3 linked regions of the Styela clava genome follow. The main gene of each other region encodes a partner of the protein of the gene in region 3 in a complex. Links are inferred from orthologs where the notes say so. Each region holds a gene or a part of one and is shown on either strand. Other genes may lie near its edges.

Evidence for each region.
Region 1: peregrin-like (region 3) and inhibitor of growth protein 5-like share a complex: the UniProt entries of both Drosophila melanogaster proteins name them as parts of the enok complex. The link is inferred for Styela clava from reciprocal best matches to the Drosophila melanogaster genes Br140 and Ing5.
Region 2: peregrin-like (region 3) and uncharacterized protein LOC144411641 share a complex: the UniProt entries of both Drosophila melanogaster proteins name them as parts of the enok complex. The link is inferred for Styela clava from reciprocal best matches to the Drosophila melanogaster genes Br140 and Eaf6.

Annotation. Positions count from the first base shown.
Region 1 is NC_135251.1:10,587,388-10,595,145, reverse strand, and holds inhibitor of growth protein 5-like, read right to left. Parts: upstream 2,299-7,758; 5' UTR 2,256-2,298; coding exon 1,509-2,255; 3' UTR 707-1,508; downstream 1-706. Other genes in the region: RNA-binding protein 8A-like, read right to left, coding at 170-658. UniProt on the Drosophila melanogaster protein: Component of the Enok complex which has a histone H3 acetyltransferase activity.
Region 2 is NC_135251.1:16,252,263-16,260,429, forward strand, and holds uncharacterized protein LOC144411641, read right to left. Parts: upstream 2,799-8,167; 5' UTR 2,681-2,798; intron 1,269-2,680; 5' UTR 1,261-1,268; coding exon 709-1,260; 3' UTR 671-708; downstream 1-670. UniProt on the Drosophila melanogaster protein: Component of the Enok complex which has a histone H3 acetyltransferase activity. Might be involved in transcriptional activation of selected genes.
Region 3 is NC_135258.1:15,526,113-15,534,837, forward strand, and holds the start of peregrin-like, read right to left. Parts: upstream 3,522-8,725; 5' UTR 3,362-3,521; coding exon 2,994-3,361; intron 2,774-2,993; coding exon 2,368-2,773; intron 1,794-2,367; coding exon 1,368-1,793; intron 1,013-1,367; coding exon 818-1,012; intron 145-817; coding exon 1-144. UniProt on the Drosophila melanogaster protein: Scaffold subunit of the histone acetyltransferase (HAT) Enok complex which has histone H3 acetyltransferase activity.

The sequences.
Region 1 (7,758 bases), on a different chromosome or scaffold from region 3:
ATTAAAATATCCTAAATAATGAGCAGAGTTGGGAAAAACGCTCAGTTCAATATTAAACTTGAAAGGACAAGCATGATCATAGTGTAGCCTTTAGTTTGAGTTTATTGAGCAGATTTGTCTTATTACTACACACAGCACCATCGAGCATAGATTTATCGTTTTAATATTTTCAACGACGACGATGCCTACGGTCCCGCCTATCTTTTTGGGACGGTTTAACAAAAGCCCAATCTACTGACATCGTTTGGCCTAGTAAATCACTCCCATTCAATGCATCAAGAGCAGCCTGTGCTTCTTTAAAAGTCTCGAATTCCACGAGGGCATATCCTTTTAAATATCCGGTTCTTCTGTCAAGATTTAGATGTAAATTTTTTAATTCTCCATATTCTCCAAATTTATCGAACATGTCGTCTTCCGTTGCTTCCTCGTGCACGCCAGTAACGAATAAAATCCAGCCTTCAACCGATCGTTGAGGTCCAGGCCCATCTTGATCACTTTCCATTGCTTCATACTTGATTTCAGTTCTTTTTTCAGAATCCCCAATTCCACGACCTTTTCTGCGCTTCGCACGATCTTTCAATCTTTCAATTCCGACATCTCCTTCCTCATCTGCGGCGAATTCCTCTCCGCTTTCATGTAGATCTAGCACATCAGCCATTTCGATTGTTCCTTACACTAAATTATTATCACTTAAATTATGTTATGGCTGAGAAAATATCAAAAACAATGAGACATAAAGATATTATATATGATGAAAATCAACAAATACAATAAAAAATGTTGCAAGGGATAAATGAATTCAATTCAAGTATAAACATATATTTCGAAAACAACTTGGCAGTTTAACGGAAATGATTTTTCACCATCGTCTAGCAAGCACTAAACAAAAGAAATAGCTATTTGCATCTCACTTCTAGACATTTTAAGTTAGCTTTTTCTTTCCAGCATCTTCGGCCTTGCCTTGGGTGAAAATCAACAAATACAATAAAATAATGATGCAGAGAACTTAGATATTCAGCGAAGAACAAAGCAGCTCATTAGAATCAGTGTTCACCAGCACCCACCAAGCGCCAAAAGTGCAATTAACTGTAGCTCTTTACATCTCACGGTTTAAGACACAGTCAACTTGAATACACCTTTTTTATGAATGTGGTGGAGCAGTGGAAGTTGACAAAATAGCAAAATGTGAAATTACGAAGTGGAAACTTGCTCAAGAAAACACAGCTTCGAATCCGGAGCATTTGATTCTCAGAATATCAGGATGAATCATTTTAGTTAATTTATATTTATCATTTCTGAAAATATTGTTGCCTTGATACAAAATATTTTTGACTAGTAATCAAAATCTAAATATTAATACCCACTGGCAGTTATCAGATAATATAGAAAAATAATTACTAACAAACTGCCTATGAAAACTGGCAGTGAGTTTAGTTTTGAACATAAAAACATTTACGTTTGAATATTACCAGTGAGTAATTTTTAAAATTTCTCGGTGAAAATAAAAGCTATCGTTTCTTTTTATCTCTCTCTTCACGACATTTCGGACAAAACCATTTTCCTTTTGGTTTTGATGTTAAATTAACGCAACCAAAATGAAACCACTCGATGGGGCAATCTGGATTATCACATCCAATCATTTCACCATAAGAAACTTGGTGACAAAGACAATACGTTGGTTCATTTGGATCAACAGGCATATCTAGAACATCTGAACTCGAGTACGCAGATATTCCAGAGACGAGAGGTACAGAAGACAATGATTGATCTAGTCCGGATTTATGTTTCTTTTTGCTCGATTTTGATTCGTCCTCGGAGTTCGCGGCTCGTCCTTTCTTGCGACGCTTTTTATCTGAAGGACCGCTGTCTGTATCAGCTTTCGAAGTCCCAGCGACGTTTGAATCATGAATAGATTTCTCTTTCAAATCAGCTTCGAATCTTGCAAGATCCGAGTCTAATTTTCTGATATGTTTGTCAACCATTTCGTACGTTTGCATTGCAAGTTGAACCTTGTCATCAGCAAACTCACGACATTTAGCGTAAGAATTTTGAATTTTTTTGATACTCTCAACTCTGACATCTGGTGGTAGATTTTTTGCTTCTTCTACATAATCCATCGTTAGATTATCAATATCTACTTTTAATTCTTCTGATCTTTCATCAAGCTGACGCATAAGTTGGAAATTTCTTTGCAATTCAGCAGGTAATGTTTCCAGACTGTCAAGATACTGCTCCAGATACATTGCGGTAGCCATCTTTGATACTTTATATATTATTCTAGCTGATAATAAAATAAAATGATAAAGTTGAAAAAAAAAATTTATTGATAGTTATAAAAATACAAAACTACGCATAGAATGCAGATGCATCAGATCGTGCCATGCTCGTCTGTTGTCTCGATATTAAATTAAATCAAACGCAACGTGCCTCGTCAGTCACATGACCAAAATTGCAGTTTTTGCTAAAAACTCGACTTTTTTTTAAGAATCCAACGTTAATGTTTTTAGATTGCGCTTATATTTATTTAGTTTTGTTGCACAGTGCGTGTTTGGAGGCCTAGACTGTCTTGAAAAGAAGGAGTTTGTACTCATTGTTTAAATTGATTTTTAATGTGGAGGCTATTCTTGGAATTAAGGAACTGTGTCGTACTGGTAATTCATCTATAATTCTTCAAATACGAAACTCTGCATGAAAAAAGAGATACCATAATCGAATAATATATGATATTTATTCCGAAATGAAATATATTCTCAATCACTAAATTGAATGACGTTGAACAAATGAATTTATACTCCAGTATTCATCTCCATAAATTTGTGAAAATTGAATCTGGGACGGTGAATCAGTTGCAAAATAATTCAGTGATTGTGATACATCAGTACAGATTGAATTGATTTCCTATTTTTTACAATATTGTAATGTCAGACCATCGACTCTTGTATGCCAGTATGGGTAAATTGGGTCTCGTGTAGTTTCACGTCATAGAGCTTGTCAAATACTCGTACGATCGCCCGAAATGGCATCGGCGCCGACGATAAAGAACTGACTAACGTCAGCGATCTCTCTCCTAACAGTCGTTTGCGCGTCTTGGATGACAGTCCGCATAATTTGAAGGGCTCTATTACGTCACTGTGACGTCGTGGTGACGTAATTTTTGGATGGTGTGGTCAGGTGGCAGTACAGCACACTATCCAAATTTCAAGAATTTCCCTCCATTTGGCTCAATAAAACAAACACTCTATGTGTCTCACAAACGAGGAGCGTCTGGGACCATGTCAGATGCTTCATATCGTGCCATGCTTGTCTCAATAAAAATCTAAATTAATCGTGACCGTCAGATGACCAAAATTACCGTTTTTTGCTAAAAACTCTCGAATGCTACGGTAAAAAATTTTTTCCTTCGGAAAATCGGATTATTTTTTTCCCAGGAATTCAATGATGACGTTACTAAAGTGCGCTTTTTTGTAGTATTTCGCGCAACTTCATTATACTGTAATATTACCGATATTGAGGGACAACAATGTCCAAACGTCTCCCAAAGAAGGGGCGTCTGATCATCTGTAAAATGGGTTTCTCTGAAACGGGACACTGTCACCCGATTTGTATAGCGTGCCGTACTGGGTGGGGGTTAGGATTGACATGTGAAAAAATTGTTATGCTACGCCTGCTAGAAGTACGTTAGGTACGAAACTACACCAGACCCGGTAAATTAACATAAATATTTTAATTATGTTGAACCCAACCATTTGGTTTTTGTGTATCGCAGTATCGATTAGTTTAAACGAATTGGAAATCAAAATACTGAAATGAGTATTTTCCCAAAATAACCCACAATGTCAACCATTGCTGCATTAGTTCTTCTCGACCCCCAGACTTCATACAGTTTATATGCTGATTTCAATTTTACTTTTTTACATTCCATGCATTCGGACAGTTTTATAGAATTGATTCAAAATTTCGCCGAAAGCTTGAAAAACAGAAATAGTCTATGTACGGTACGGTACCGGGCCATACGGGTACGGTATTTGCTATGGCAGTATGGGAGTCAGCATGACAGGCAGAATAACAAAAGTTTTCTAACTAAACATTTCAAATTATTTCAGAATAACTGAATACTGAAATAACGGAACCGGAATTATAAAATGCTGGAATGCGGGTACCGGTGCCGGTACCGTACCTAACTTTAAAATTTTCTGAATTTTGTGACTGAGCTACATAAACTACAATTTTAAAAAATCAAGATACACACCACAGCGTGGAAATGTAAATTCAGTAAACAGACAAAAACCACCTGTCCATCATAATCATACGGAGTATTGAGAATAAAATAAAGAAATAAAAAATTTTCCTTCCCGCCTGCAGGCACAAATAGACGATGAGCAAATTTTAAATCATCACACACGCGGCCTACTTACGCCACCTTGCGACAAATCGTATATTGTATGATTGGTTGAAATTAGTAGTATATATTTACGTATGATTGGTTGAAATTTAAAATTTTTATGGGATTTTCACTCAACAGTTCCAATATTTTTTGGAATTAGAAAAATTTAAAATTGTACGTACATAACTGAATATTTCAAATATACACATATTCATGTCCCTGTCCGTCTGCGGTCTGATGGCTCTTGAAGACAATCTCTAGAAATATATATTACCGTAGGTATTTAATTCGACAAAATTATACGGTGCTCATCGGTAGTTCCGAGAATAAAAATCCAGATCTTTTTAATACGATATTAGAACCTCGGGTGTGGCTGCTCGATTCCCTCGCTTTGAGAGAGAGAATTTATTATTTCGTCAACCAGAAAACACATAATATAAAATATAATAATAACAAAATAAGTGAAACAAAAGTTTTCGGTATGACTGGGAGGTAACGATACGACCAGTTACGGTCATCTGAGTTAGTTACCATCCAATACAACACATGAATAAATACATAAATTGACACAGGTTCTTTTTTATTTAACTCTCAGTTTATAGAGAACTATTTACACTATTTACAAAACGAGGATAAATCTGATTAGAACGAGGATAAATTTTGGATTCATCTAATCAGGGTTGGGAATTTATTGTGAAAAATGACACATTTATAACAGTAACATAATGTGGTTTTTGTTTTAAGTTAATTTAATGGTAGAAAAAGAGGAGTGCGTTTCCGAAATAGATACTTAATTCTAAATGAGCCTATATATGAGAATCAATCAGTACATCATTTTAACACTATGAAAAAATAAAATAAAAAAATACTACTCCAATAATACATAAATAGACATATGCAAATTTAAGCAGATATGATTTATTAAAGACAAATATGAGACAGTTACAATAGTCCAGAAACCATTTCAATTCTTGCAATAATTCATAGTCTATCCCAAACGTAAACTTTGGTGGTAGTAGTATAAAAAAATGGTCAAATCTATCAAGATATCGCATATCGATGAATTTTAATCACACTCACAGTTAATTAAATAATCCATAACAACCGTTTAACAGTAATTGAAAATGTAATTATATTAAGGAGCATCATATGAATTTCAAAAGTCACTTAGCGGAGCAGTTTTGGGTTACTAGGGTGGTATAACACCAGACCTAATGTTGTGCATAGATAGGATAGCAGAAAATGAATGGAAATGTTTGCAGAATGATAAATGATAATACATGAGATATATATAAATCAGTGGATTAATTTGGTAACCCCCAAACGTAAACTTTGGTGGTAGGAGTATCAAAAATTTCCAAATTTATTAATTTATTGCAATATCGATAAATGTTAATCACACTCACAGTTGATTAAATAAACCATAAGAACCACATAAGGGTAATTGAAACAGTAATTATGTAATATCAGCCTAATGTTGTGCATAGGTGGGATATCAGCGACTTCGATTCCTCAGTGAAATTTTATGATAATCTCGCTTTTTTCTGAATGTTATATGCGATTGTTTATTGCTGGTTGGAAAAAAATAAATTTCACTTGACGCACAGACAGAACGGGAGATCATCAAGACTGTTATCATAGCGTGCTTCTTATTTGCAAAGTTTCAAAAGCCCAAAGAGCACTTTTATTAGGATAGAAGTTCATATTTATCCCGAAGAAGAAGAAAGTGGCGAGACTACTTTTTCATTATTCGCATGACAAGCATATTGCTTGGGACGATGCGCCTACCGTCGATAGCTTTGAGTACTTCATACAACTTTTCAGAATTCTTCAGTCATTTTTGCTAATTTTTTTCTGGTTAGGAATTTTCTGGGGTTAATGAGGTTCAAAAAATCATACACGCATATTTGGCCTACTTGCTTCTTATCTTCATTCCTTTCTTCCGGTAACTCAGTCCTAATACCCTGACTTCGGTCAGATGACCTAACTTTTTCGATTTGGTGACACGTTTTCCAAGTAAGCTAGTCTATTTTGCCTATATGACACGAATAAAATTATATGCGTGCCTAGGGTTGCCAACTATGAAAATTCTCAATAAAGAACATAGATTACCATCATCATTTATTTTGTAACTTACAGGAAAGAACAATATAAAACAATGAAATACAAATTATATACAAGCTAAAAAGATATATATACTAAAAAATCTCCATTTGTTTTTCATTTAATGTTTATTTAACATTGACCCTGCATTCAAGCTGCATTCTGTGAACAGTTTAGTGCTTTGAATCGTGTCAAATTTTTTTTTGAATGAGTGCAACTTCATCAAATAGGTCAAACATATTCAAATTAAGTTTGTTTTTTAGCTTCAAATGCTCTACAATTTTTACAAGGGTCTGATATTTTGGAGAAAGATTATCCAAAAGTGATAATTTTCCAAATGTTAAATTTTCATCGGAGTCAAATCTTTTTTCCAAATACGTTATCGCAGAGTTGAGAAATAATCTAAAATCTTAGATACCAATTATACGTAGAATTTTCAGTTATTGAACTAGAATTTACTCAAATCTTGGAGTGTTGCCACTTGCCATCTTCGGAAAATTAATGTAAAATATTTGAAATTGTTAATAAAATTGGTATTTCTTGGCTATTGGCTATTTGTGCCGTACCAAAGCGAAATTAAAAAGAATAATTAAAAGCTTGCAAATACAGAAACGGAGGCGATTAAAGAACGAAACAATATCAAACACAGTACTATAACTATCGGGCAAAACGACGTTGGAAAAAATAAAGGACAATTATCATCTTAAAAAGGACAAGGACAAAAATCTCAAATAAAGGATTGTCCTTTGAAATGAAGGACGGTTGGCACCCTATGCGTGCCTATGAACGATAAAAAAAAATAAAGATAAAGTAAGAAAAAAAGAAGAAAAGAAAGCAAACAAAGATTAGATTAATCCCTAAAACCATGCAATTTCTGAATGAAGTATTCAAAATAGAACAGTTATCGCTCGCACACAACTTGAATTGCCGAACATCTGATATCCGAAGTATTTCTACGGATGACGCCTAATTAGCAACAAGATGAAGATGATAGTATTTTCACAAAACAAAATTAGCACTTTTTTCAGTCAGACTTCGAGAGTTTAAACTTGCTCATCTTTTTGTTGAAGACTACCTGTCACTCTGCTCTGATAAATTAATAGATTCGCTAGCTTCAAATTTCACAGAAACAAGTCGATTGTGATGATGCTACAATTATGACATGTATAGCGCCGGTAACAAATCCAGACCTGCTGGTAAGAAATTATATTTGCCGTTAATCATCGATGAAAAATCAAAATCCAGCTATCACTCACTGTATGAGACTATAA
Region 2 (8,167 bases), on a different chromosome or scaffold from region 3:
CAATCTAATAATGTTAGTCACTATATAAATCAAAAACATCGAATATCGATAATGAAACACAGGCACAATTGATAATATGAAAAGGACAAAATTTATAAAAATATGCAGCATCAACCGGATTCTTCAATTCAGATTGATTTCTTACCAACAATTGTACAGTTTGTTATATTGTTAATAGTAAATCCACGTCTCACAGTCACACACACCAAAGGTATGTTGATAAGGTTATTGTAGTACTACCGGTACATCTGAGTGGCTTTTACAGAGTTTCAGAAATACCAGGGATGGCCATATTCTAAAATTAACAATTAAAAAAAATATGGCAAATATACATTTGCAGACTGAAATTTTAATAAGAGCAAAAAGCAATGAATGTGTTTTCTACTTCTATCAGGATAAATTCAATGTAAAATCTGGTATAGTTAAATAGATGGATGCAAAGTCTTTCTGGACTCATCGATAGAGTTCATGCATCCATACATTGGCTGAGTAGGTTTTCCTCCAACATCCAAGGAAAGATTGATTGGTTGACCCCTGACTGACATGGTGACTGGACAAGATAGAGAGAGTTCCTCCCATATGATTAATCACGAAAAATCCTAAATTTTAAATAGTTTTGGCTGGTCGTATTTTCAAACTTTTCACAGTCAACAATAAATTCAGGAAATTAAGTCAAATTTATGAACCACAGCAGGCAGCAAAATAATATCAGCTCTCCCCAGAGCGTGATTTTTTACCATATTTGTCGACCTTGTTCTGCCGAATCTTACGCTTTTTATCTTTGCTTGCAGATGCAGAGTCTTGGGTACTGACAGAACTATATCCATCTTCCGAGTTATTTTTATTTTTAACACTCGATGTGGAAATTTTGCCATTTGAATCTGAACGTTTTAACAGTTTGTTTCCTCCATTTTCTCTAGATTGTTTTTCTTTGCTTGAACTAGAGTCTCCATCTTTTCGAGAATCCACTCCACTTACAGCCGCCGCAGATGTGATTGAAGATTTACTAAAAAGTCTTTCAGCTTCTTTAAATTTTCTGTTTCTACGATCTGATTTGCTATTAGTGTTTTTATTATTTGTCAAATATCTGTCCCATCCTCTAATGATGTTTCCATAGAGTTGAGTATCTTCCAAATAGCTTCCTTCAAAAGCGTAAATTTGGCGCTCAAGATTTGCTAAAGTTTCAGTTATTTCTTCTTTTCGCTTTACTAACTCTGATAGTTCTGCTCTGGTGTTGGATCCTTGGTTTTTATTAGACATATTGAAAACTGAAACAGAAGACATATGACTGTATGACATATTAACTACCATATGAAAATCTTGTTCTTTGGTTTGCAGGTTTAACCCAAGCTAAAATGAAAATCATTCAGAAATGAAATATCAAATAATTAAAAGTGCAAATGATTAGCCTGCTCCAAATTTTCAGATTTTTGAATCAATTATTGAATTAGAAAGACTAAGCACCTAGATTTAGGTTATATTGAAGCAAAAGCTATAATGGCCAAAGAAAATTGGGTGTTATATTGGTATGGGATTTCAACATATATTATACAGCAAATATTGTTATTTGCTCATGCTTATTGTATTATGTACTTGTATCGGAAATAAATCATTATCTATCTATCAACATTTATGTGATCTCAGTGCAGCAGTGATTCTAGTTAGGGTTAAGAGCTGAAATATATGAGAATGTCTGAATGAAGCACCACTTTGGTATACAATTGAGATCACACTGAACAAGTGAGGTCGCATACCAAAGTGGCAACCCATTATGCATTATGATTTTTTATAACTTTGTCATATATGTGCCTATGTTTGCCCATTTTGATATCATTCGTATTTAAACTATTACTTCGCCAAAAATAAATTACACTTTTATAATACCTAAATACTCATGGACTAAATATATGCGATACACTATTATTCAATGATAGACCTAAAAAAAAACAGAATTATTGCCCTATATTCTGATACCGTATTATATTTCAAGTAATGAATAAAATTGGTAGGTTGGGTTGAGTCGAGTCAAACTGAAAATACATAGACTATCATAAGCTTCTACGATTGAGGTTTTCCCCTACCCTTGACCCAGTGGCCCCAAAAATATTCTCCCTAATTTTTTGACGCTGAATTGGATTTTTTTTGAAGAGTTTGCACTTATAAATAAACTTGTTATACTGTTAGACTGGCCTATATGTTCAAAAGCATTATTTTTGTTAAAAACAATTAACCACGTGCCGCTCACAGATACCGGTATCTAATTTTAGCCTAGCCCTGTCAGCCTGTACGTACCGGTGCCGGTACGGTAGACCATCGCAGCTTTTTCGAGACTAATTTTTGATTATTGCAACTAAACTAAAGCTCTGTGGAAAGCATAACGACTTTTATACGGTACTATTTGATTTACAACTAATTTTTGGAAACACAACTGAAAACTAATACGCAAAATCACAAAAAAAGAGGCGCAGTTCTTACCACTTCATGGCAGCTCCTGCCACGAACGAACCGCGGCAGCTCTTGCCATGGTTTTATAGCGCTATTCAGTAATCAGTATTAACGGTATATTCACAAATTAATGTACCAGATTTTAATTGATCATGTGGAATTATATCTACTTAAACCCTAACCCTAACCCCAAATCAATCAAAACTGTATCCATAAGAAAAACGTTCCAACTTACCCAATATTTGTCACCATAATAGACAGCCCAGTCTTTACGGCCCACCTGCCGCGGTGACGGCAGCTCGACATTGGTTTGTGGCAGCTAAAAAGTCAGTTGCCATGAGTTTGGCCGTAGCGGCCATGGTATGAAAATACCGCCATGGTTTTGCGGCAGCTGCAGATGCCACAGAATACTTGAAACTGCACTTGAAAAAAGAGGCATCGTTTTCACCCACGCTGGAATATCTGTCTGGGCGGCCGCAAAAATTCAATTGATACCATTCTGTTGTAAGGAGTCTTGCATAATTACGGTGAGTGCAAGGTGACTATAACACTTATAGACACTTTGGGTAAGTGCAAGGTGCCCCGCCGCCACAGGATGGCTCGTTTTGCCGAAGATGAAAGCAGATATCTAACAACATAACATATTGAAGAATATCTCCACAAACTTGCTTCGCTGTCTAAGTTTTTTCATTCATCCCGGTTGGTTCATTTGAATGAAGGATTATAGATAGTGAGCCTAAGAAAAATGGTGTTGACAAAGAGACATACAAATTTATGCGCCACTTTAGATGCTGTAAAATAGCTTCTCAAAAAAAAAATGGGGGCCACCGCCCTCCCTGGCCACACCTATGTCTCTCTTTTCCAGAAGAAATTTGAAAATCCTATCCTGCGAGATAAAAAAAATGGAGTCGGCAGAACTACATGCGAAAGATTATACAACAAATTGAGAGGAGTTAAACATATTGATTCCATAGTTTTGGATCTCACAGTGCAACTCTCTACAAAACGTTCATAACTACCCTGAAGAGATGCAAATAAATAGGGTCTTTTTAGGCCGCGAGCCGAGGCAATTTATCTTTCAGTTTCGTAGCGCACATAAGGTAACTACCTGAAAATTATTTTAAAATGTTCCTTAGAAATTTAGTAACAAATATTGCCTTGTTCCCACTTCCAAAAGTTGCACGTTTTACAAAAAAGACGCTTTTACTACAATAAATATGTGTTACCATCTGTCATATTTTCTCTGCTTTCCCGGTATCATGGGCCAATAAACGCAGACTTCTACATGACGTAACAATCAAATTAGTCAGCTGTAGGTGGTTGCACGTTTTACAAAAAAGACGCTTTTACTACAATAAATATGTGTTACCATCTGTCCTATTTTCTCTGCTTTTCCGGTATCATGGGCCAATAAACGCAGACTTCTACATGACGTAACAATCAAATTAGTCAGCTGTAGGTGGATCCCCAGTGGTCGGATGAATATCAGATGTACTACTACTGCTCGCTTTTGCGTTCAGTAACCTTTCCATAGTTTTTTTCAGTTATTATTAGTTTAGTTATTCTAAAGAGGTGTTGAAAACTATAAGTACGGCAAGATATTAAACACTTGTATATCCTTACCATAAATAGCAATTTTAGTTGAGCACTAGCTCATAACACGTTGATAAATTGGTACGGTGCGGTAACTCCAAGAAAGGCTAGACCTAGAATAATAGGTCACAAACAACGATATTTTCTGGCTTACGTGAAATGTTTATGATTAATTTAATGACTCTTCTTGACTATTCAGCAGACTTATACTACTACTATATAGGCCACAGCATATTTGGAAATAGAAATTAATGGCTGTTTCTGTAATGCACAGTTGTGTGAAAGAGAAGAAAATAATCAATTTTACTAATGTCGGTTGGTTTAAATCTAAATTCATAGAGTCGACAAGAACCTGGGAAGCAATGATAAGTTATGCCGGGAAGGAAAGAAAGAAAGTAGCATTGGAAACGATTTAGAGGTGAGAAACCAAGTTGTAGACAGACAGTTGATGTTTTAAAATATAGTCTATAGTCCATACTCATACTGTCATAGGGCATTTCAGACTGTGATATATCATAATTTAGTGGAGATATAGTCTAGTAATGGTATGCAAACACTGCTGGACTGTAGTACATGCAATGAGCATATATACGCTCATTGAGTACATCAGATAAAATGCATTATGTATTCAAGGTATTAGTTAGTATTTAGTGGTATTTTTACACTCATGCTGTTCCAAATATGATTTTCTTCCTCATTTTAGATACTGTACTATAAAAGAAAACGGCAATGTTTCACCAATCCGACCTAACGCAGGCTCTAATCCCTGCTGCTATCAGTGCTATAAAATGGATTAAACAAGAAGTCTTGAAGAGTATAGATATATGAGAATCATAATAGTTGCAAACAGCTTAGATGGGCTATTCATATTGAAATACTTTAGCACTTTTCTGCAATTGAAACTGCCCATCAAACTCATGTTGGAGACTTCATTGAGGTTTTCAATTAATTTTTTCTCAACTATGAAGATCTTTTGAGGTTAATGAGGCATTAATAAATAAAGCTGAGGAATTTGTTTGTTCACTGTAGACCAGGGGTTCCCAAACTTTATTGGACGCGGGCCAAATTTAGAATCGGGAGAATGTTCGCGGGCCGGAAGAGTTTAGCGCCCGAAAGTTCGCGGCGGTTTAGCTGGGGTTCAGTGGATTCACTTCCATTTGACATTTTTTGCAATCTGTTTGTTTGACTCACAATGGCGCTTTATGTCGTATTCCTTCAGAACTGGAATATTTCATTGGCAAGAAAGACAAATCGCTGAAGTTTGATTCTTTGCAATACGAAAATATGAAAGCTACCATTTATCCCGGAAACGTCTATTTGTAAAGTCTAGTTTTGTTTGTTTCTTTGACATCTGTAAGCTTTCTTATATGGCTGATAACTTAATTACTGCTCTTTGTAATCCTACCGTGTTTCCCTGAAAATGAGACCAATCCCGTAAATAAGACCTAGCCTGAATTTTAAGAATGATTATAATATAAGCCTCACCGTAAAATAAGACGTATAGTCAGTAGCACCTAGTCGATAGCAGGAAATCTCCCATACACGTTGTAAATGATTAATTTAACAAGTGTGAAAGAGGAATACGTGCCATTTAAGTAAATGGATATTGGTTTTCATATTTTTTATATTTGAAAATCTTTGTAATTTTTTTTTGACTCATGAAAATAAAAGACACGCCCCGAAAATAAGCCCTAGGTATATTTTTCGAAAGAAAATTGAAATAATCTGTTCTATTTTTGGGGAAACATGGTAATACCGGTACGTATTATTGAGATATCGGCATATTTGAATTGTTACGCGATAAACACATGCTTAAACTGTGGTAATGACATAACAACATCGTTTTACTCAAGTTCGGCGGGCCATTTTAAATTGTTACGCGGGCCGGATTTGGGAACCCCTGCTGTAGACTATGGGGATATGAAGAATGTAAATGATACCAGGGGCCAGGGCATGTCTATTTAACACTGACAAACATAAGGATTCACTGAAGAAGCATGTGGCCCTCAAATCAGTTCTTGAGTTGGCAAACTGCAAGTGTAAGAAAAATAGTCAAAATAATTTATGCAAGTGTGCCAAAATCAACTTAAATTGCACAGATTTTTGTTTTTGTACTGCAAAAATCACAGTACACTTATATAGGAAAAGTCGATTTTCGAGAGTGGATTTCGAAAACAATTCAGAGGAAAGTGAATTAGATATTGCAGTTGATTTATTAAGTAGGGCCTATCATTTTTTTTTCGGACATTTGTTAGTGTCGTAGTTCTGTTTCTAGAAATAATATTGCCTTTGTTCAAATACATAACCACATAAACTGAAAAAAGACTAATTGTTATATTTCTGTTCACTATGTTATGTACATATTGTACATTCATTTAATTTTCTTGACTTTTCCGTTAAATTTCTAAGTGAGAAATAACTGATTTATTTGTGTTTTCGTGCTCACGATGTTAATTTGTGACTTCATTGCTCAAAAATGATTACGTTTGATAGCTTCTATAAAAAGGATGTAGCTTTTTATGCTGTTCTTGTTGTAAACTGCTTGTGGTTATTACATAAAATTTATTCGCTAATGTGAATCAGCGTTGTTGGTGTCGCTGCTTTCGAGGTCACTCGCGACTCCTGTCACACAATTAAAGTATTTTTCGTAATCTACCTATTAAATTATGATTGACTGAGGAAGTCCGATTTTGATAGGAAAAACATTACTGGAATACATTTGTGTTAGTGTGCTGTAGGGCTCTCGAATTGCATAGTTTTTATGTATGTGTTGTAAACTTATGGTTATTGAATTTCCGGGAACCTCTTATATTCAATTTTGCATCAGGATTGTGGAACAAGCTGTAATGAGTTCAGTATGTTCATTTTCACACAAAATTGACGAATTTATTTAGTTACCAGATGTGCGCTACGAAACTCATTTTCTGGGCGTTTTCAAGGCTTCGTCTCACGGCCCATATCGGTGGTAAAGATCTGCAAGTGTTTAATAACTTACTTATACATTTTTTAAACAACGTCTCAGGATAACTCAACTAATAACAAGAGAGCTACGCACAAATATATGGACACGTCAGACCAGAGCGAATCAGTCCTTACCGGTACCTTTGACGCTACCGGTACCCTCAAAAAAGTTCTGAATTTCCAGTAGCAAGAATTTTGCAGAATCAAAACGTACAGCCAGTCATGACACTGACTAAAATCCGTGTTCCCATGGATAAAAAATGATACAGCAAAATTTTAGACGAAATATCAAATTTCATAGAATTCACGCAAAATTTTGAAATAAATAAAAGTAATAGCCTTCTAGCGAAAAAATTAATCTTTAACCACTGAAAATTTCAAAGCAATTGGTCCAGTATTCGAAGAAAAAAGCGACTTTTTAAAAACGTGTCAAAGAACAAGAACAACAACATAATATTGAAACGATCGTTATGTCCACTACGTGTCCAATAACTAAACAGGGCTATGGAAAGGCTGCCCAACTCAACGCAAGGTCGAGCAGTAATAACTAATATTCATCCGCTCGCTAACAGCTGATTCGATTCAATTGTGACGTCATGCAGAAGTCATTGCCGAAAATGTAGAGAATATAGGACAGATCGTAGCACATATTTCTTGCAGTAAAAGCGTCTTTTCCATAAAACGTGCAACTTTTGGAAGTGGCAAAGCAATATTTGTTACTAAATTTTTAAGGAACATTTTAAAATCATTTTCAGGTAATTACCTGATGTGCGCTACGAAACTCACTTTCTAGGCGTTTTTCAGGGCCTCGGCTCGCGGCCTATTTGTAGTATTTGACAATTGTATTCAGCATTTGAAATATAAAAATTTATAATTGAAAAAAAATCATAAATGTGCGAAGTGTCAGTTGACAACTGTTGAAGATTTCTCTCAAGAAAATTATTTTCTGAGCGATCTTTTTATTGGATACTAACATAACAAAGACGGTGTTTTTAAGTTTTATTCAAAAGAAAAGGTAACACTTGAAAAACATGACTATCATTAGGTAAGTTAATGTGCAAGTAATAATAGAATGAATTATCTATCAACCTATAGTTAGTATTGGCAGCTGGCAGGGCAATTTATTTAAACACCACAATGTTAAATGGCAAAAATTTGTTAATAAGTG
Region 3 (8,725 bases):
AAACTCGAATGTATTTCGAAGTGGTTTAGTAGGAGTCGCATTTGCAGGCCGATGAACATCGCAGAATGCTGCCTTTCGCACTGTGACTGTTACTCCATTTTTTCCAGTTTCCCGAACTGGATCCATTTTCATATATAGACCAGCCTAAATAGAGGAAGCAATCTATAGTCAAAGGTAAAATGACAAAGAACAAGTCACGCAAAAGAGTAAAAATTTGTGCACGTTGAAAAACTCCCGAACTATATCAGATTTATGATGAAGTTAATTCATTCATGGCCATAAAATCAGTGAAATTTTCAAGACCCTGTTTTCACAGACTATAGTAATTAACAATATAACAATAACAGGGCTGTGATTTCTGAGAAATGTCCCGCTTGACTTGTCCAGTAAGAATTGACTATAATTCTCGTTCTGCCTCCAGCTCACAAATCATGGATTCGAAAAATCAACCCCCGTTCCAGTTTCTTACTATATAAAAACACTTGAGCTTGTAGGCATTGTGCTGCATCAGCTGGGAACTTTCAATCAAACTACCTATTCCCATGAAAATAAACTATTGATTAAAATACCAAACTCTGGCTTGACTCCATAGCGCCGAGGACTATATTGGAGTGTCTGCTCATAAGTGGTGGTGTGGAAGATACCTTGGAAAATCGTTTGAAAATTAGATTATTGTTATGCCAGAGTAGCTGGTTACTAACCATCCACTTTCTATACTATTATATGCGTAATGATTGAAAAGAAAAATTAAAAAAATCACAAAGTCCAGGTGATTAAAAACGAAGTTTTCCTAGCACACGAAAGCCTTGAAAAGTACCTGCTGAGCACATGTGACATGAAACGCAGTGTAACAATTTGTTCTGTGACATTGTATGCAAGCTCCAGAATTTCTCTGTTTACAAATATAACAAGAAAGTTTCCATCTTGCAGCTGGAATTCTTTTCAATCCGTCGATAGGTTCCAAGAACACAGTGTTGGCAAATGTCACCTCAGGAACCCAAAGTGCACAGACCTGAGATCAAATATAAGGTCCAAAAATAATCGAAATAGGCAATAAGAGGATTTTAAAGGTTACTTTACTTATGAATGTATATTATATTCATGTGCAAACACTGCATCGAGTATCAATCATATATTAGGACAGTATTCCATAAATTGGCTTTAAAAGAAATACATATCAATAAAATTTGGCAATACAAAAATCTGTTTCGAGCAGTTTGTTATTGTTAATTAACATTATATATGCACATAATCATCAGTGCAGTAAAACTTATGATTGTGCCAAATTCAAACATTTATCTGAATAACAAAAGTTTGAATTATGTTGAATTCTTGATTATTCTAACACCAATATTCTAACTACTAACCACATGTGCCCATCTACCATCATCGGTCTGTTTGAATGCTCCACCTCTGTTTGGGCACAAGCAGCAATCAACTGGGCAAGACGGAGATTGCAAGCATCTCCTACATAACCATTGTCCTTCAGGAATGTAAGGGACCCCATAGCACTCCTGGTGGACTGCAAGATTGCACATGTCGCAAAATAAGATGACATTTGAGTTTTGACATTCGCCGTCATTACACACACAACATACGGCGTCCTCGTCAATCATTTGTTGTGCACGATGATGATCCCCATTTTTTGCTTGTTCAAAATAGGATTCTTTTTCAAATCTGTCCATCAAAAGTTCAAATTGATCAGCGGAAACGATTTGCAATGACTCTTTTTTTCGGTTTTCATTCAAAAGTTCGAGCCAAACAGAGTCTTCTTCATCCATATCATATTCAACCTAGAATGAACAAAAATTGAAAGAAATTAGAGAATAGTCCAAATTAAAATGCGTCAGGGAGATTATTAAAGTAAACCATACTATCATAATATAGATGGGCTTCAAACAATATTATCATGACTGAATTCAACCATATTACGACACGGGAGCAAGGAATAAATATTCGTGTTATAATGAAATACGGGTCAACCAAACAAACTGCACCACATCCAGTGATTCTCAAAAATAGTTAAATTTCGAATGGTCACAAATACTTTATACCAGTGGTGTGTAACACTTTTCGTCAGTGGGCCATATAACTAACTTCAGAGATCTAGTCGGGTCACACTGTTACAGACAAAAAATTTAGCGGGGAAAGGCAAGAGAAGAGGAGCGCCTAATGCTTACATATTTTATCTGTGAGCACATTTTGAAACATTAATTGTCGGAATAGATTTTATGCTGGTTGGGGAAAATCATGAGTGTTGACAAGGGCTGGGTTGTGGGCAGTGGGCCGCCTATTGCACACTCGTGCTCAAATCTATCCTTTCTTTTCTTCAATAATAAAGGTGATATTACAATAAACATGAATTACCTCCTCTGCCAATTCTTCAACTGGTCTTTCAATATATCGATAATAAGCCATACGACGTTCTGGAGCATCAGCTGCTTCAGTTCCATACGCAGAGACGACGCGAAACGATGGTACAGGAAGCTTTGGTTCAACTGGCTTTGATTCTGCTGAATTTCCATCTCGTTGAATAGGAAGAGTCACACTTTTCAAGTCTTTGCTGTTGACCGCGGGTTTCCCTCCCGTTTTGCTTTTTCCATTCTTCCCTGCCGGTCCACTGTTTCCTCCATCCTCTTTAGTTATGTTTTTCTTTGAGTCTTCTTGATTTTGAGTATCTGAACTTCCGTCTGATGAATTTCCGCTGTTACTGTCATCATCTTTATCAACATCAGAATCCGAGATGACGTCTAGTTTTTCATTTATGTCCAATCTAGCGAAAAGCAATAGAAAAAATATACATGATATAAAATCTTTTCTAGACATCTTAGTTTTTAATCAAGACTCAAGGTAGGTAAATCATCAGTCTAATACATAAAAATGTTTTCAATTTGTGGAATCTTACTCCATTGAAGTTGAAACAAAATATATAGATTACATTTTTCATTTTGTTTTAAAGTGAATTCAGCACAGCAAAAGCTTAAGTTATATACCTATAAATTTTTCCTTCTGATTCAACTTCAACCATTCTTTGAGCTTCGGCCCAAGTCAGAGTCTCTCGGGCTGGTGATGCAAAACCAATAGGAGATGGAGAGCGTCTAGGTGTATTAGCACTCATTCGTCCTCCTTTCTTTTTCATGGCAAACTTTGAGCGAGGTCCTTTTCGATTTGAATTTGACGGTGTGGGTTTCTGGCTTGGGGTCATTGGAGCTGCATCATGATCAAATTTAAGCATATGATATTCCATTCCAGAGTAACTTTTATAAATCTTCTGACATTTCGGACACTCCCATGGTGGCTTGGTAGCACGTAATGATCGAAGAAATGTGTCAATGTCAATGCTTGAATCCATTACTCCCATTAAATTGATTTCAAGCAAAAAAAGCAGTTTTCAATAAATGACTTCTAATAACAATTTGTTTTAAAATATGTTCATTTTTTCTTTGCCTTTGAATGTTGATGTTATATGTAATTTATTTTTAACTTACATTAAATCAATATAAAACTTCAGAATAATAAAGCAATGTTTTAATCCAAATTAAATAAACACAAAATCCTGAAAAAAAATTAAGTTACTATATTTTTTAAACACAACATCCAGATTTTTCTACTCTACTACTATTACTTCTTTACTGAGCTAGACCATGGTAATTCTACTGTTCTATGCTAGTACCTAAGACAACTGACTATTTTTTATACCTACCTGACTAGATACAGTACAACAATACGACTGTATGATTAGCAAATATTGACACCTATCTGCCTATTACAAATCCTAGGCTATTTAAGTGCTGTATTCAGGTATTTCGAACACAGGAATCCACAACTGATTGTTGCGGTATAGGTATCCTATTATCAGATTTTACACATCCACTAACTGACTAACCAATCTGACAATGTTTTACTAACGTCAGACCTGCAGAACGTTAAAATCACAAGTTCGAATCGCAGAATCGGGCATTACAAGTACCTCATTGCCAGTATAGATCAAACTAAAACTTTTAACATATTTAAGCTATGTTTGAATATATATGTATATATACAATAATACCGACATCACGTTTGAATTTAAATCCAATGCGCCAAAATCCCGCCGAACACGGAAGCCTGAGGTAAGGCCGGCCTATAAATCTGGAAGCGGGCGAAAAATTTTCGGCGAGCCTCGCTATCGCTCCTAGTGTTGTAACTATTCTCTGTACTCATATTTCAAAAAAGGTCACACTGTGGTTAGGACCCCAAAAAAAAAAATTAATACCGATATAAGAAGATTTTATCCCATTTTTCTAATTTCGACCTAAGAAATAATTTCAATGAAATCCATGATTTTTGAGAAGAAAATTTCGGTCTGCTGTGATGATTTGCTGCGTCTAAATAAATTTCTTTCAAATGTAAAATTATTAAAATACGATATTGTGGTTGTTCACGATACAAACAGTCGCGTCTAGAGGATATCCGATAAATTAGTAAAGTGTTAATCATTATATAAAACTTACTTCTAAAATCTTTTATGTTAATTTTGTCAATTTGACTCCCTTACTTTTCATTTTTTTATTTGTTTCGCAAAAATTGTTTCACTAGGAATGACATTATTATTTATTTCCAATAACCAGGTTGTTCTTCTGAGAATATGTTCACTATCACAACTACTGCATAGTCAAAATTTGTACTCCTTAGACTTTAGAGTTTACACCAACCTGTACTAGCGATGTAGGTGTCGCTGCTTGAAGACATCTCGAGGACCCTCTCGACTCCGGTCACACAAATAAGAGTATCAGTATATTTATTTGATGCATGAATTTCTGCGCAGTTATTTACCGGTAGTCGTTGGTGATGACAAATAAACGATTGGCTGACTGGCTTTTCAGTATATTATCGTCGCGGTATGGGATCGATGGACAATTCTCCATCACACTTCATCGTATCTTGCGTCAAGATCTGCTGTGCCTATCACGATAAATTGTACCCCAACATTTATCTCGTATATTTTCGCGATTGATTTTAAAAAAGTATATTATTGTTGCTAAAACGATACCAGCTTTCAAACAATTATTTGTCTACCCCAGACAAAGGTATAAGTTCAGATATACTAGAACAAAATAGTTTTAAGGGATAAGCAAACTATGAAAAAGACCAGATAAATTTCAAGGTGTCGACATCACCGATAATATGTAACAATAATTAACGCATGTTCTTGAGTTTCAGCTTGAAACACAAATAAAAAATATTTAGACGCATAAATGGAGTGTCACTTGACTCATTACTGAAGGCATATCAAAATAGCTTACTTTAATTAATTGCATCGTAAATTGCCTTGTAAATCTGCACGTATGCAAATATGGACTCGACACTTCTTTTACATATTAATATAGGTGTCTGCAGACGTTTCGTTTTGCACGGGCGCTGGGAATAGCGGTGTTTTAAACTCATACCAAGTTGTCTACCGTAATGGTATATTCGATAAATGTTTACCACTTTTATTAAACCAATACCCATAGTGGCGTACGCAGAATTTTGTGACAATTTTATGTCAAATTTTATTTTCACACAACGAGGAAATTCACTGTGATATTTGATTGATATTTTTCTTCTTTATTGTCAAATATTTAAATAACACAATTTTAGTAGCGAAAATAGATAAATTAATTGGGAAGGTAGTTTGGATGAGGAATAGCTCAAAACGAGTAAGAATTGAGGGCGTTCTTAATAAATTCCGTGTACATATGTGTACAGTGTGTGAAAACTTCAGTATACATAAGGTCACATTTCTTAATATATATATTTCATAAAATTCTGTTGTTAGTGATTATATTTATATTTAGTATATAATAATTGGAATCTAAAAACAAGTTCAAATGATGATAAAACATCATAGTATCAGATATTGTGACGTTATAATACCCGTTTCCAGTGCAGCAGGTTGGCCGCGAACATGGTCCTTCCACAAAAAAAAAATTGTTTCAGATATCAACATTCGGATGCCAACTCATTTTAAAAACATTCTGGATCTCATTGAACAGCAGAATCGGAAGCATATTATTAGCCGATACCGAACATATACCAATACCGAAATAAATGCCGATATCAGTACATTTCTATATTTATCCCGGGGAGATGAAAGCCGATTAGACGGCTCAAACATCTTGCGGAACACGGTCACTTGTCCGGTTACCGGTCCATGTAGGGTATGAGATTAGTTAATAACAAGTTATTTGTTTCAGATACATGGACTTGATGGTTGAGAAAGTCGTAACTGACCAGCGGTTATTTGAACCAGCCTGCGGCGGCGCCTCGCCTCGCATATACCGTGTTCCCCCGAAAATAAGACAGTGTCTTATTTTAACTTTCTTCCGAAAAATAACACTTGGGCTTATTTTGGGGAATGTCTTTTATTATCATTTATCAAAAACAAAATTACAAAGTGGAGAATTACGAGATTTTTCGAATATACAAAATATGACAACAACCGATATCCATTTACTTATTAATAACACGTTTTTATTAAAATTTTCATTTATTTATTTATTGAAACGTATAGGAGAGATTCCTTGCCATCGACTATGCCAGGAAAACAAATTCGCACTATCGACTAGGTCTTATCTTTAAAACTCGGGCTAGGTCTTATTTTCGAGGAAACACGGTAATTCTCATCCCGCGCGGGATTCGAACCAGCTAACCCACGCAGGTGCGGTAGCGAGCGTATTCCTAACGCTCAGCGCGAAACACCGCCGAGCAATTAAAACAGAACATTTACTTTACCTAACAAAAGGCAAAGAAGAAGCTGAATGGCGACGTTGGCTGAGATGACGTATTATGAAAAAAAATGAGAGGGTAGAAAATGGCGAATGTAGTGCAATTTTTGTAATTCGGATCCACCTTAGACGAATACTGTAAAGGTAATTAGACGGTATATTATACTGATGCTTCTTCTTTGCCATTTCGCTTTTTATGCCAATTAATCCAAGACCGTGATTCAATTTTGTATGCGGGTTTTTTTTAAATAAATTTTAAATGGAAACGTACATAAGCATTCTTTTTGTTTTCACAATTACAAGACCAGTCTGTCGATGTATTACACTGATATTTCGAAGTAAAATACGTGGTTAGTGCGTCTTAGTATAATTCTTGTTCAAGCACTTTTCCATTTCAGATGTCTTCAGTTATATTTTTTTATCATATAGAATAAAAATGTGTGCTACTTCTATTTTCTTCAAAAATGCCTTCTGTCAATCTAATATAGACACCATCAAACTCCCGATTATGCATAGGTGTGAACAAAATTTCAGAGCCAAAATTTGTTCCCAAAACTTCAATTGTACTGATTAAATTTGTTGTTAATCAAGTTTCTCGACAATCACTAAGCTTATATTTAATTTTTTCTATTTTTATTACGCCCGTGATGTTTGCTGGCATACCTTCCACAGAGATAAACGTAGTTATACCTCATCAGAGCATGAATGTCACATCGCATTGTTATGCATTGTCTCTGGTTAGAGACGCCTGCTAGCTAGTGCACTGTCCATGCTCATTTTGTCATTTTAGTTCAGTGCTCACGACCTCGATTTGATATACTTACATATTATAATAATAAAAAACAAGAGAGCTATGCTCAAATATATGGAAACGCCACAAGTTGTCGCTATTTTTTATTGCAACACATATTGCACACAAGAAAAGAAAGCTCTTGAGGTTCACAGAAATTTTTAAAATAAGTGAAAGTGATAGTCTTCTGGCAAAGCAATCTTTAACCACTGAAAATTTCAAAGCAATTTGTCCTGTATTCGAAGAGCAATTTTATTATGACAACGGAGAAGAAAAACAAAAACAATAACATAATGTTGAAACGATCATTATGTCCACCAAGTGTCCAATAAGGAAGCAATACTCAAATACATGAACACGAAAGCCGAAACAAAATATTTTACTCACAATTTCCCCAAAAATCATATCTTGGACGAAGCTGAAACTGTGGACCATCGTAAATCACCAGTATCGTTACCCGGACTGCCCTAGCTTCAACAGATCCTGTAACAATGATGATTTATGCGTCTTGTGCAACGTGAAAAAAATGGAAATTGGAATATACGATGCTAATTGTAAAATAATTTCAATCAAAAACAATTTCGAAGAGTTATTAAAACTTCAAGTCGGTGCTAATTGAAATCCACTGATTTTGGCTGTAATTTATTGCCGCGCCGCCCAGGCCTGCTGTCTTCGAATATGATAAAAAATAAAATAATCGTTTTTATCAAAACGTGGACATTAACGCTAGGACGTGTGCGCGATATTCGGTATTCTTATAAACACAAAAAACGAAGGTCGCGATATTTGCTTATGAATTCGAATTGGATATCCAGGAGTCATAGGCCCCTGCCACTTCGGCACCTGCAAGTCAGTCATTCCCCATAAAAGTAAAATTCAGCATCACTTATATCGAGTATAAAACAAAACAAAAAAACAGTCGCTTCCCGGGAAATCATAGTGACACTACCTGCCAAATCTCATAAAAAATCTTCAGCTTATTTTTAGAAACAGCTTTTACATCCATCTGTAGTGCTTTCAATCACATTACTCGGTCTTCGGTGACCTCATCCACGTTACTCCTATCGGGATATTTCGTCAATTCGTCCTCCTAAGGTTCAACTTTTTAGTGACTTCGACACCCTCCTTATTCGTCGGAAAAAATTTCATCCACTTCTTCCTTTTAGTGTTCAGCTATTTAGTGACT